2 linked regions of the Drosophila melanogaster genome follow. The protein of the gene in region 1 purifies or fractionates together with the protein of each later gene. This does not show direct contact. Each region holds a gene or a part of one and is shown in the gene's direction. Other genes may lie near its edges. The genes, in order: Khc-73 and CG10887.

Region 1 (5,177 bases):
GGGCGATTTGCCAATTTGGCAGCAGGCGTGGGCCAAAAATTATCGAAAATATAAATATAATATGGCTAATGTTTTCTTTGCTCTCGAAGACGTCGTCGAGATTCGCAGTTGTAAGTCCCCAGATAGCCAGTTTGCATTTTATGGCAGCTAATGGCTATTCGATGAAACCATTTCAAGGGTAAATCGTAAATCTGCGCTTGGCTTCGCATCCACTATTATATTATTTTCCGATTTTTGCCTATGCAAATGAACCTTCACCTTAACTTTGCGGATCCCGATCGCCCAGTTTGGTTTCTTTTTCCCTCGTTTTTTCTTTGGACAAACGATGGGTTTTGTAACTAATATTCGCGAACTGGCTCTGGTTTTGCCATGTTTGCTGCACGCTGGTTTTTAATGGAATGGCTGTAGGAAAAATGGTGATTTATATTTTGACACTGCCTGCTTATGATCGCGTTTGGGGGTCAAGGATCGATTTCAATCCGGGATCTGCAACTAATCGAAGTGACCTACTTTTCAAACAATAATCCAATCAATATAGAACTGTCCTTGGCACTCGCTCTTATTCCAAAAAATATTAGTTTACCAGTATTTTTGTCTTGTTTATTTACTTTTGTAAGATTCGCAATCGAAACTAATTTTTAGGATGTGTGTGTTTTTTTTTTTAGCGCGACACTCGCAGCTTCGCGTCTTTCGCAGATACTGTGACCCTTTGCGGCGATTCCAAACCTTTATAAACTCCGTGAGCGCCCAAAACGCACGTGAACAGGTATCAAGCGGGTATTGAGTTAAAAAAATTAATAAAAAAACAGCAACAAAAAATGAGATACGAATGAAAACAAACCGAGCGATGAAAGCGAAACTGCTTTTCGCTTTGTTTATTTTTGGGAATCGGAACGGCCTGCATTTGCGATCGGCTCGTTATTTTTTTTTGGTTCACACGTATACGTCACTAGGCCGGGCTCAAATTGCCGGTCTTGAGTTCTCGTTTTTCACGCCGATCGATCGCGTTCATTGACTCCGCTATGATGGGGAGGCGTTCTTCCGAGTTGAAAGTCGCTCCCTTAATGAGGCAGTGGATCCTTGCATATGCGAAACTAGAAACCTACAGGAACTACATTTTTCTTTTTCATTTTCCGTTGGTAGCTTTTTTATTCGTCTATATATCAATATCAATAAAAAGTAAAACGCAACTGATCAAGTTGCCCACTTATGCGACCCAACTTCAGTTTTTTTGGAACAAAATAGGTTTCACTGTACTGAAAATCAGCATTGCAAAACAGGAAGTGCCACTTAAAATGCAATTGCAAATGGAATGGTTCCACTAGGGAACGGTTATTTTCCAACAGGGTCAAAATAAATTACAGGAATATACAACGGAAGAAGCCGATATATTTCCACATTAAATTAATAAATGACAAGTCAAACAACAAATTAAATCTAATATGACGTTCTATAAGTAAAACTTATGATTATTTCATAAAAAAAGTATACATTGGTTTGAAAAAAAATGGTCCGGGGAATCTGGGACTCAAAGAATTCGTTCTTAAAAGATAATTCAAATGATTTTAAGATCGTGGTCAGATTATTTACTTTAGTTTGTAGTACGCTAAGTAAACGAGTTTTATTTAATTTTAAAATTATTAAATATTTTTTAACATTCTAGCTGGACAATACTTCTACCTTTGTATATGTTACCTTTATATAATATTTGCAATAACATCATTATATATATATTCACTTTTTTAATAGATCCAAAGTTTGAAAATAACGATATTTTAAAAAGCCCTTTTTTCGGTCTGTGAATGGTCACACTAAAATTCAATTTTAGAACTTAGCGAGTTCACCCACCCAAACTAGAATTAAGCACATCGTTTTTGGTATTTTTAGAAAAGAAAACTGTGGTATTTCTTGGGCACCCTGCACACGGTCACACTCATCGATAGTCGCAAGAGCAATCGATGATTCTGCATCACTAGTAAAAATTGCTGAGAAAAACGAAAACGCGAAAAATGAAAACGCAATACAGAAAATCAAAATTGAAGTGAAACCAAGTGCGAAAACGAAGGAGCTAAAGGTGCGGTCAAACGATAAGCATATCCCAAATGAAAACAATGCGAGTGTGCAGCCAAAAGAGGCCCCCATTTGTGTTGCTCCCCTCGAAAGAAAAAGAGCCATAAAAATCGATTCTTCAAAGAAGTCGCACACTGCGTTCGAGACTTTTTTGCGCGGGCGGTGGAGCCTGGCGTTGCTTTTCGCCAACTTTTCGTGGAGCTCGTAAAGTTTTTGTATTTCGCGTGGCTTTTGAGGGTTAAAAAGAGCTACCTGTGCATAGTGCATACCTGCTGATCTGTGTGTGTGTGGGGGTGTAGTTGTGTGTGAAAGTGCGAAAAGAATATCAAGTCTGTATGTACATATTCGCATTTATTTGGACAGCCCTGAAAAATCGGACAGGACACTAGAATCACATTCTTAATTAGCTAATTTCCAGTAAATATTTGAGTGTGTCTCGCGTAAATAACGGAATGCCAGCACATGACAATAAAACGTATCCGTGTGCGTGCAAGTGTGTGTGTGTGTAGTAACAACAAAGCAAAAAAGCAAAAGCAAAACAAAGTGAATGACAAACGGCGAGAACGAAATGGAAAACCACCCCCCGCACCACCCACTTACTGTTAGACATGTGTGCGCGTGTGTGCGTGGCGCTAATTGAACTCACACAATATATATAATTTATTTTTTTTGGCGCTCCACAAAAGCCACTTACTTGTGAGTCAGCTTACGACTTCCACCTGCCTTCCAGATTGCGTGCTCATAACTCCCGCGAGGACGACAACTACCGCTAACAACTAACGGTCATAAAAGTCAAAAGCAACGAAGCCCGAGGAGAAGGAGCTAGCCACGCCCCCCGCTGCAGCCCCCGCTTAGGGAGCCCCGCCCATCCGCATATCCACTCCGCTTCATCTAAATAGAGATTCAAAAACAACACCCGCTGCATCCACATCCGCGATGGCTAGTGATAAGATCAAAGTCGCCGTAAGGGTGCGACCCTTCAATCGCCGAGGTAAGTGCCGATTTACATGCCCCACATAATCCCCTGTACTGGGAGAAAAATTCGCCAACTTATGGAGTTTCAAAATATAAATGTTTCACAATCGACATGAGCACAATAATAAGCAACAGATAGACATAATTTCTGATTTTTCATTGTACAAAAATGTTACATTATCGTAAATTAAAAAACAAAATAATTTTGGAGTAAATCTGAAAAGCTACAGACTTAAAGCTTAAATATTCGCCCTTTAATTTTGTGTTTTAATGCGCTCATATTTATCTATTGTTATGTTAAAACTTTCATCTTTTTTTTAGTATAATAAAGTAGTTTTACGGTTGGTCGTGAGGGTGGTTAAGCAATTTCTATAAAATTATAACATCAGATGCCAGGCACTCCATTTATTTTGTAAGAGTTGATAATATAGTTCATAAGGAGTTGCCTTGAGTGGCCCGCACTTTCCATTTTCCCCACTTTTTCACATTGTTTCCCAACAATGGCCAACAAGCACTGCAGTTGCCTGCAATCAATAATGCAAACAACCAACCAGGCAAGCGACTGTTTTTTTAGGCTAACGAAATTTACATGGGCTTCCTCGCTTCCTTTGAAATACGGTTTCGTTTTTCAACTGCTGCGCCAGCGGATTTTTCGCAGGGCTTAACTGCAGAACTACAGCGTCTACCTACGGGATGGTAATGGGATGGGATGGATTGGGATGGTTTTGCAAGGTCCCCGGTCTGCTCGTCTGACAAACGATTTGCGTTTCCAGCTAATTTCGCGTTACCCACTGCCAGCCACGAAGTGTGTTGCAAGTGCAAAATAACTAAAAATGAAAAACAAGCAACAGCGCCGTCAGCGTTTCCAATGTCAACACTGATCATTCATTTGGCTCATCCATGACTCACACTCGCGGCGGCGTCGGCGGAAGCGAAGGATGGCAGCGGAAAAGGGGCTCTACGACCCAACCATATGCAAAAGATACCTATGTAAACGCATATAAGCGTGCTGCATGCTTGTATTTATGTGCCTGTGCGTGGGGCAAGGTCCACTTGGATCCCCTGCTGTATTGATTGAATGGCAAACTTTGATTGCACATCTTATTTATATTTACATAAGGCATTGAATCAGTTACATTTATTGCATTTTGGTGCACCCTCTGTTTATAAATTGGCATAACGTAAAGTTTGATTTCATACACATATAAACAAACGGCAGGCTTAGAAAGTATTCCATTTATATGGGTCACGATCCTAATTGATTGAATGACAAACCTACACCGATGACTCCATGTTTGTTTATATTTACATGATTGTATAATCCATCAAAACACATTTCTGTTGTTATTTTGTAGCTTTTCTTTTCATACTCAGTTTGTCATAACTCGATTAGATGGACTCTAACCTATTAGGTCTTTATCTATAGCGAAGCTAATGGATGAATTAGGATAATTGCAATTGCATTCTGGTTTTAGAGGTAGTCGTTGTGGAGCATAGTGCAATAATTGTGCACTTGCAAGTATTTGCAAATGAAACACAAACTAGTCTTAGTAGCTATGGGACCTTAAAGTGATGAATTCTGCGATCACAGATGCTCATTTAATTACAAATAACTTTGTAATTTTGACAAATTTATTACCACGCTAGTGCCAGCTACTTGTGAAACTAATTAATTGTATCCGTAACACTTGTATATACTTGTTTATTGGCAAACAAACAACTACTTCTGGTTATCCATCATAATGTGTCACTTGTAATATTTTCCGGCCAAGTTAGGCGTACGCATGGACTTGGTAACCGCGTGTATTTTTAGAAGTTTGACCGTGTATCGATGTTGTACTTTGTCATGTTTTTGGCTTGTTTGATCCGTTGCTGTTTTGGTGTCTGAAGAGAGTAGTAGTCGTAGTCACCGGAAAGTCTGCGATAAGCAACGCAGAATCGTTATCACTGGGCTGATAAAGGCTTGTATTTTGCGATACCCAGCGTGTTACACACTTGCAGTGACTGGCATTAGTCAACAGTGTATTTGGGCCATGTCCGTAACTGGTGACCTCTCCGCGTTGAGCTGGCCAGCAGAGCGTAAAATGAAAACAGAAAAGGCAATTTCAAACGCAAAGACACGGCAAAGGCAG
Region 2 (4,906 bases), on another chromosome or scaffold:
TAATTAAATAAGTTACACAATAATGTGTAAACTGATCAACAAAGATCACAAAATAATTTTTATCATCTAAAGTAACTGGAGTAATAGGCCCACAGACATCTGAGTGTACTACAAAAAGTGGTCTTTTAATATGGGTCTTATCTTTCAATTGTTTAAAAGGAAGTCTTGCCTGTTTACCATTTAAACAGGGTTCACAAATTTCACATGATAACTCTAAGTTGTTTAGAAGACTTTGATCACTAAACATATTCTTTCGTTTTATTTCTAATAATTTGCCATCGCTTATATGGCCAAACCTCTCATGCCATAAACGAAAATTATTTTTATGCTTAGCATTTATAGAATATGCTTGAAAATTGATCACAGGTACATTGTTTAACATACCTGAATTTTTGACAACCATTAACCCATTTTTCGAAATGGTTACACCGCTTTTGTCAAATTCGATCGACATTCCTGCCTCTTGGAGACGCTTTACGGACATCAAATTACCAGCAGCTTCCTTACAAAAGAGTACATCCTCCAGTGTAATCTCATGGTCATTCCGTAGTCGGACAATACCACGCTTAGTGGCATAAATAAATTCGCCTTGCTTGGCCACTGCAATCTTAAGTGGAGGCACAACCTCCACACTGTCGGTATACAGCGACTCATCATTTATAAGATGGTCACTAGCACCAGAATCAAGGACAAACCCGCAGTTGTCCATCACTGAAGTATTATTCACTTCTTTTACCATAAACGCAATGCCGTGTGATGTTGCAGTTTGAACTTGTTTTTCATTTTCTTTATTTTTATTATTTAATATTCTTTTATAATGGAAACAATCTTTTTTAATGTGGCCTTCTCTGCCACAGTGGTGACACTTGACTTTATACTTTGAATTTCCCTTGAATATTTTCTTTGGTTTAGTTACCCGATTTTTAAACAAATTATTTTTATAAGTGTTATTATTGTTGTGCACGATCGCGTTCATAACTTTCTTGCTTGTATCGTTGTGGTCATTTTTAATTTTAATTTCTTGATCCAGCAATCTATTTTTCACAAACGCCAATGTCAAATTTTCTTCAGATAATGTCTCTATCGCTGTAATAATTCCATCGTAACACGAAGGCAATGTGATCAGTAGATGAGAAATTTTATCCATCTCTTCTATTTTTGCACCAGCTGCCAACAATTCACTTATAAGTTCGTCAAAAATATGAAAATGGCTTAATAGTGACATCTCACTTGATAGCTTCAGAGAAAGCAAACGTTTTCGCAGCGCCAGTTGCGACGCCAAACTTTTTCGTTCATAAACGGCGTCCAAATTCTCAAGAATCTGACGCGCCGTAATGTCGCTTGTTGCGAAATTTAAAAACGAGTCGCTTAGGTACTCTATTATTGTACTTTTTGCACAACGCTCTGCCTTTTTCCAGGAGTCATCTACCTCGTTAGGCATTAAACCATCAACTACTTTAAGCACATCTTGCTCGGCTAAAAGAGCCCTAATTCTAAATTTCCAAATCGCGTACTTCTCGCCATCAAACGGCTTAATATTACGTTTAGCCTTGTCCATTTTTCACTCAAATTCTGAGAAGGAAATAATTTCACAAGAATGTGAAAAAAAAAGCTATTTCACAAGAATGTGAAAAAATGCTATTTCACAATTTATTTTCACAATCTTTAATTCACAATTTAATTGTTTATTAGGCATGGACTGGGCCCATAACCTGTTGTAATTTATAATTTATATTTCCTTTCTTAATAAATAAATAAATAGTCAAGTTTATGTTTGAGTTTTATGATTTATATTTTAAGTTATTTCAACTGCAACACCAGCACCACGACCTACTCACAGCAAAAAACGTACAAGAAGGAAAGAAGGAATAAAAAGAGTGGTATTCTCTTACAATATGTTTTATGGCATAAAAGGTGTGGCCATTCATATCAAATATAAAGTAGTGTTGTTTAACGTTATTTTTGTAGGTTGAATAGTATATTCCAACAGTTTTAAACCAATTAAAACAGTAGGGGAACAACACTGATTGTTAGAAAAGCTGACAACTCTTGCCCAGACAACTCTGTCAAACAATCGATAAATCAGTCACTTGGCTCGGCTGTCATTACGTAAAAAACCATATAGTTTTTTTTCTGTGCTGCTTGTGAAGAAATTGTGTTCCACTAACTCTTCGCCTTACGCTAAAAATGGCTGACCCCAATTTGCACGACAATCAAGTAATAAAAGGTTTGTAGTCTATAGAATATTAATAAAAATTGAATTATTATCTACGCTTTTACTTTAGATGGTGAATCTTCCGAAAGCTGGCCTGCATTCAATAGGAGGTTGGTTTAGGTACATATATTCTGCAGAACTTAGTAATCCCATATGGCTTTTCCAGGAGCCCGAATCCCTCTTTCTCCAGCGTTGATCAACAAGGAAATAAAACTAAGGCACGAAGGCAGCACCAAAGCCGTTCACATTCTTTTCACTCAACAGCAAATAGTGTTCCTGAATCGCAGGGACCTCTTGAATCTCGATCTGATCTGAACGCCAAGACATCATCGAAAAGCGAACGACCATATATTTCCACATCCAATTCAAGCTGGACCTCTGAATCCAGCTCCGGAAGTCCACCAGATTCAGGAGAATCGTCTTCGTTTTCGACTTCATCTTCGCTTTCATCATCATTATTATGTGCTCCAGAACCGAAATCTATTAACTGGAGCAACCCGAAATCTTCTTCAAATATCTCAAATGAAACCACAACTTCTGCGGGACAGGTTGGCGGCATTCCGAGCTTTTCAGAAAGTGATGACCAGGGAAGTGTCGACTCTGAAACAGTCTCTAACATCAGAAAATCAACTTCCCTCATAGAACTTAAAGACAATTTCAATACAATCATTGACGAAGATAATAATCAACAGCTCTCTAACGAGGGCAACATATTGTCCCCTGGGACAGTTTCTATTTCCAATTTTCCAAGCTCGAATGAAGTAGCAAATGGATTGATTGATGAGATGGAACAAGACCTACTCTCGAAGCAACATTCTACATCGACCCCAATAAATAAAAGTAATACAATGGAAAAAGAATTGCTCCCATTGCAATGTTCTTCATTTCCACCGACATCATCCGAAGGTAATATTTTAAAACCCAGGGTCAATCCTGTGCCATTAGGTCCCAGCTCAAATACAGAGTATGAATCAAATGGAAAAAATTACAACATTGAAAAAAGGTTGTCCCAATTGCGATATAGTTCAGATGAAAAGGAATCCGATGTCTTGTCGTATGCCTCTTCTGATAGTCTCGATTTAAATTTCGATTACGGTGATAATGCAAAGAATCAAAATGGAAATGGAATGAATGGAGAGGTAAATGGTGATAAGGAGTCGCAAGTTCTTGATATAGAAGAACAACGCAAACCTTTTGAAAAAGATGTAGCAGTTAAGTTCCAGACCACCATAACAACCCAAAATTGTGGACTTCTAAAAGGTCCATCGCAGTTTCTGAAGATGCCTTATTTCATACCCGTGGAATCCAAGGCATACGTGCCTGAAACCTTTCAGGATCGCATGACTAAGAATGATTTGAAGGACGAACAGTCACGCGAGGATTTCATAAATCGTCTAAAGGCAACTGTTAGGTGGCGCGAGAACGAAAACAAAACCAAGGAGTCCAATGCGAAAATTGTTCGTTGGTCCGATGGCAGCGAAACCTTTCATGTGGGCAACGAGGTTTTCGATATGATGCATCACCCGGTGACCGTTAACCAGAACCATTTGTATGTTCGCCTGGGCAGCTTCTACCAGCCTCAGGGTTTGATCCAGAATAAGTTGACTGTGCGTCCCATGCTGGACTCCAATTTCGGACAGAGTCATGTCCAGGCCTTGCGTAATCGAGCCACGAATAAGCCACAGTCTGGGTGCGTTAAGGTGATAACGAACATGGGCTCCAATCCCGAGCACGATCATGATCGGCGCATGAAGGAGGAATTGTCCAAGCTTCGCCAGGAGGGTCGTGAAAAGAATCGCGCGCTTATGAAGAATCATCCTCCGAAACGTGACAGGCACTATCAAGGCTCCGATCACAATGTGGCCAAAAACGCAGGGGCATTCGAAGAGGACGACGGTGAGGGTGCAGATTGCGAGACAAGCTCTGCATTGGAGGTTACGAATGAACCAATGCGCAGCGAGGAAGATACCGAAGATCATATGGACGATGATGCTTCTTGGAGCTCACCCAATTCCCAGGAGGAAGGAAAGCAATCGAGTTCCGAAGACGATCTCCCGATCGGAGGTGCTATCCGCAAGCCCACGCGTTTGGTCTATTCCGGATCAGATTCCGACTAAATATTAAATAGCCGCTAGATACGAAATCTCAATAAACATGTCATTAGCCAGCACGCAACAAAGCGTAGAGCCAGGAGTAGCTGCAACTGATATTTAATTAACAATTTCTCGCGCCCACAGTGGGTGTACGGCCATTGCCTTAATTAGGGGGCGTGGCAGCTGAGGCAGGCAGACATTGGTAGTCGGCGCAGAAATTGCTAAAGGTCACAATGGGGTCGTGATTGCAGCGCGGAGCACTCTAACCCAAATGCCATTGTCCGACTGCCAAACTGGCCGGCATACCAACGCCCAAAGCAATTAATGGTAGGTGCATTGGATTGCTGCCTGGTGTTTTTGGGAGATTGGACTCGTGACTCGGTGGGTCGTATGTGGGTTTTGGGGGCGGCAAGTGGGTGGCTTTCTGGTCAGCGGCTCAGTCGGACTTTGCTCTTTGATTCCAGCTTTATATTTGTCACCGCCATCTCAGGTAGCCGAAATAAGATACATACATACTTAGCTTGTTAAAAATTTGAAATTAATAAGTACTTTATTTGTTAGCAAAAGGCGTTATCCTGAAAATAGTTATACATTTGGT

What was found.
Region 2: the proteins of Khc-73 (region 1) and CG10887 purify together in Drosophila melanogaster (affinity purification with mass spectrometry, with the first as the bait; one large-scale study listed by BioGRID). This does not show direct contact.

What each region holds. Positions count from the first base shown.
Region 1 is NT_033778.4:15,529,019-15,534,195, reverse strand, and holds the start of Khc-73 (kinesin heavy chain 73), read left to right. Parts: upstream 1-1,936; 5' UTR 1,937-2,074; intron 2,075-2,800; 5' UTR 2,801-3,006; coding exon 3,007-3,061; intron 3,062-5,177.
Region 2 is NT_033777.3:20,112,752-20,117,657, forward strand, and holds CG10887 (uncharacterized protein), read left to right. Parts: upstream 1-2,086; 5' UTR 2,087-2,187; coding exon 2,188-2,227; intron 2,228-2,285; coding exon 2,286-2,325; intron 2,326-2,381; coding exon 2,382-4,332; 3' UTR 4,333-4,388; downstream 4,389-4,906.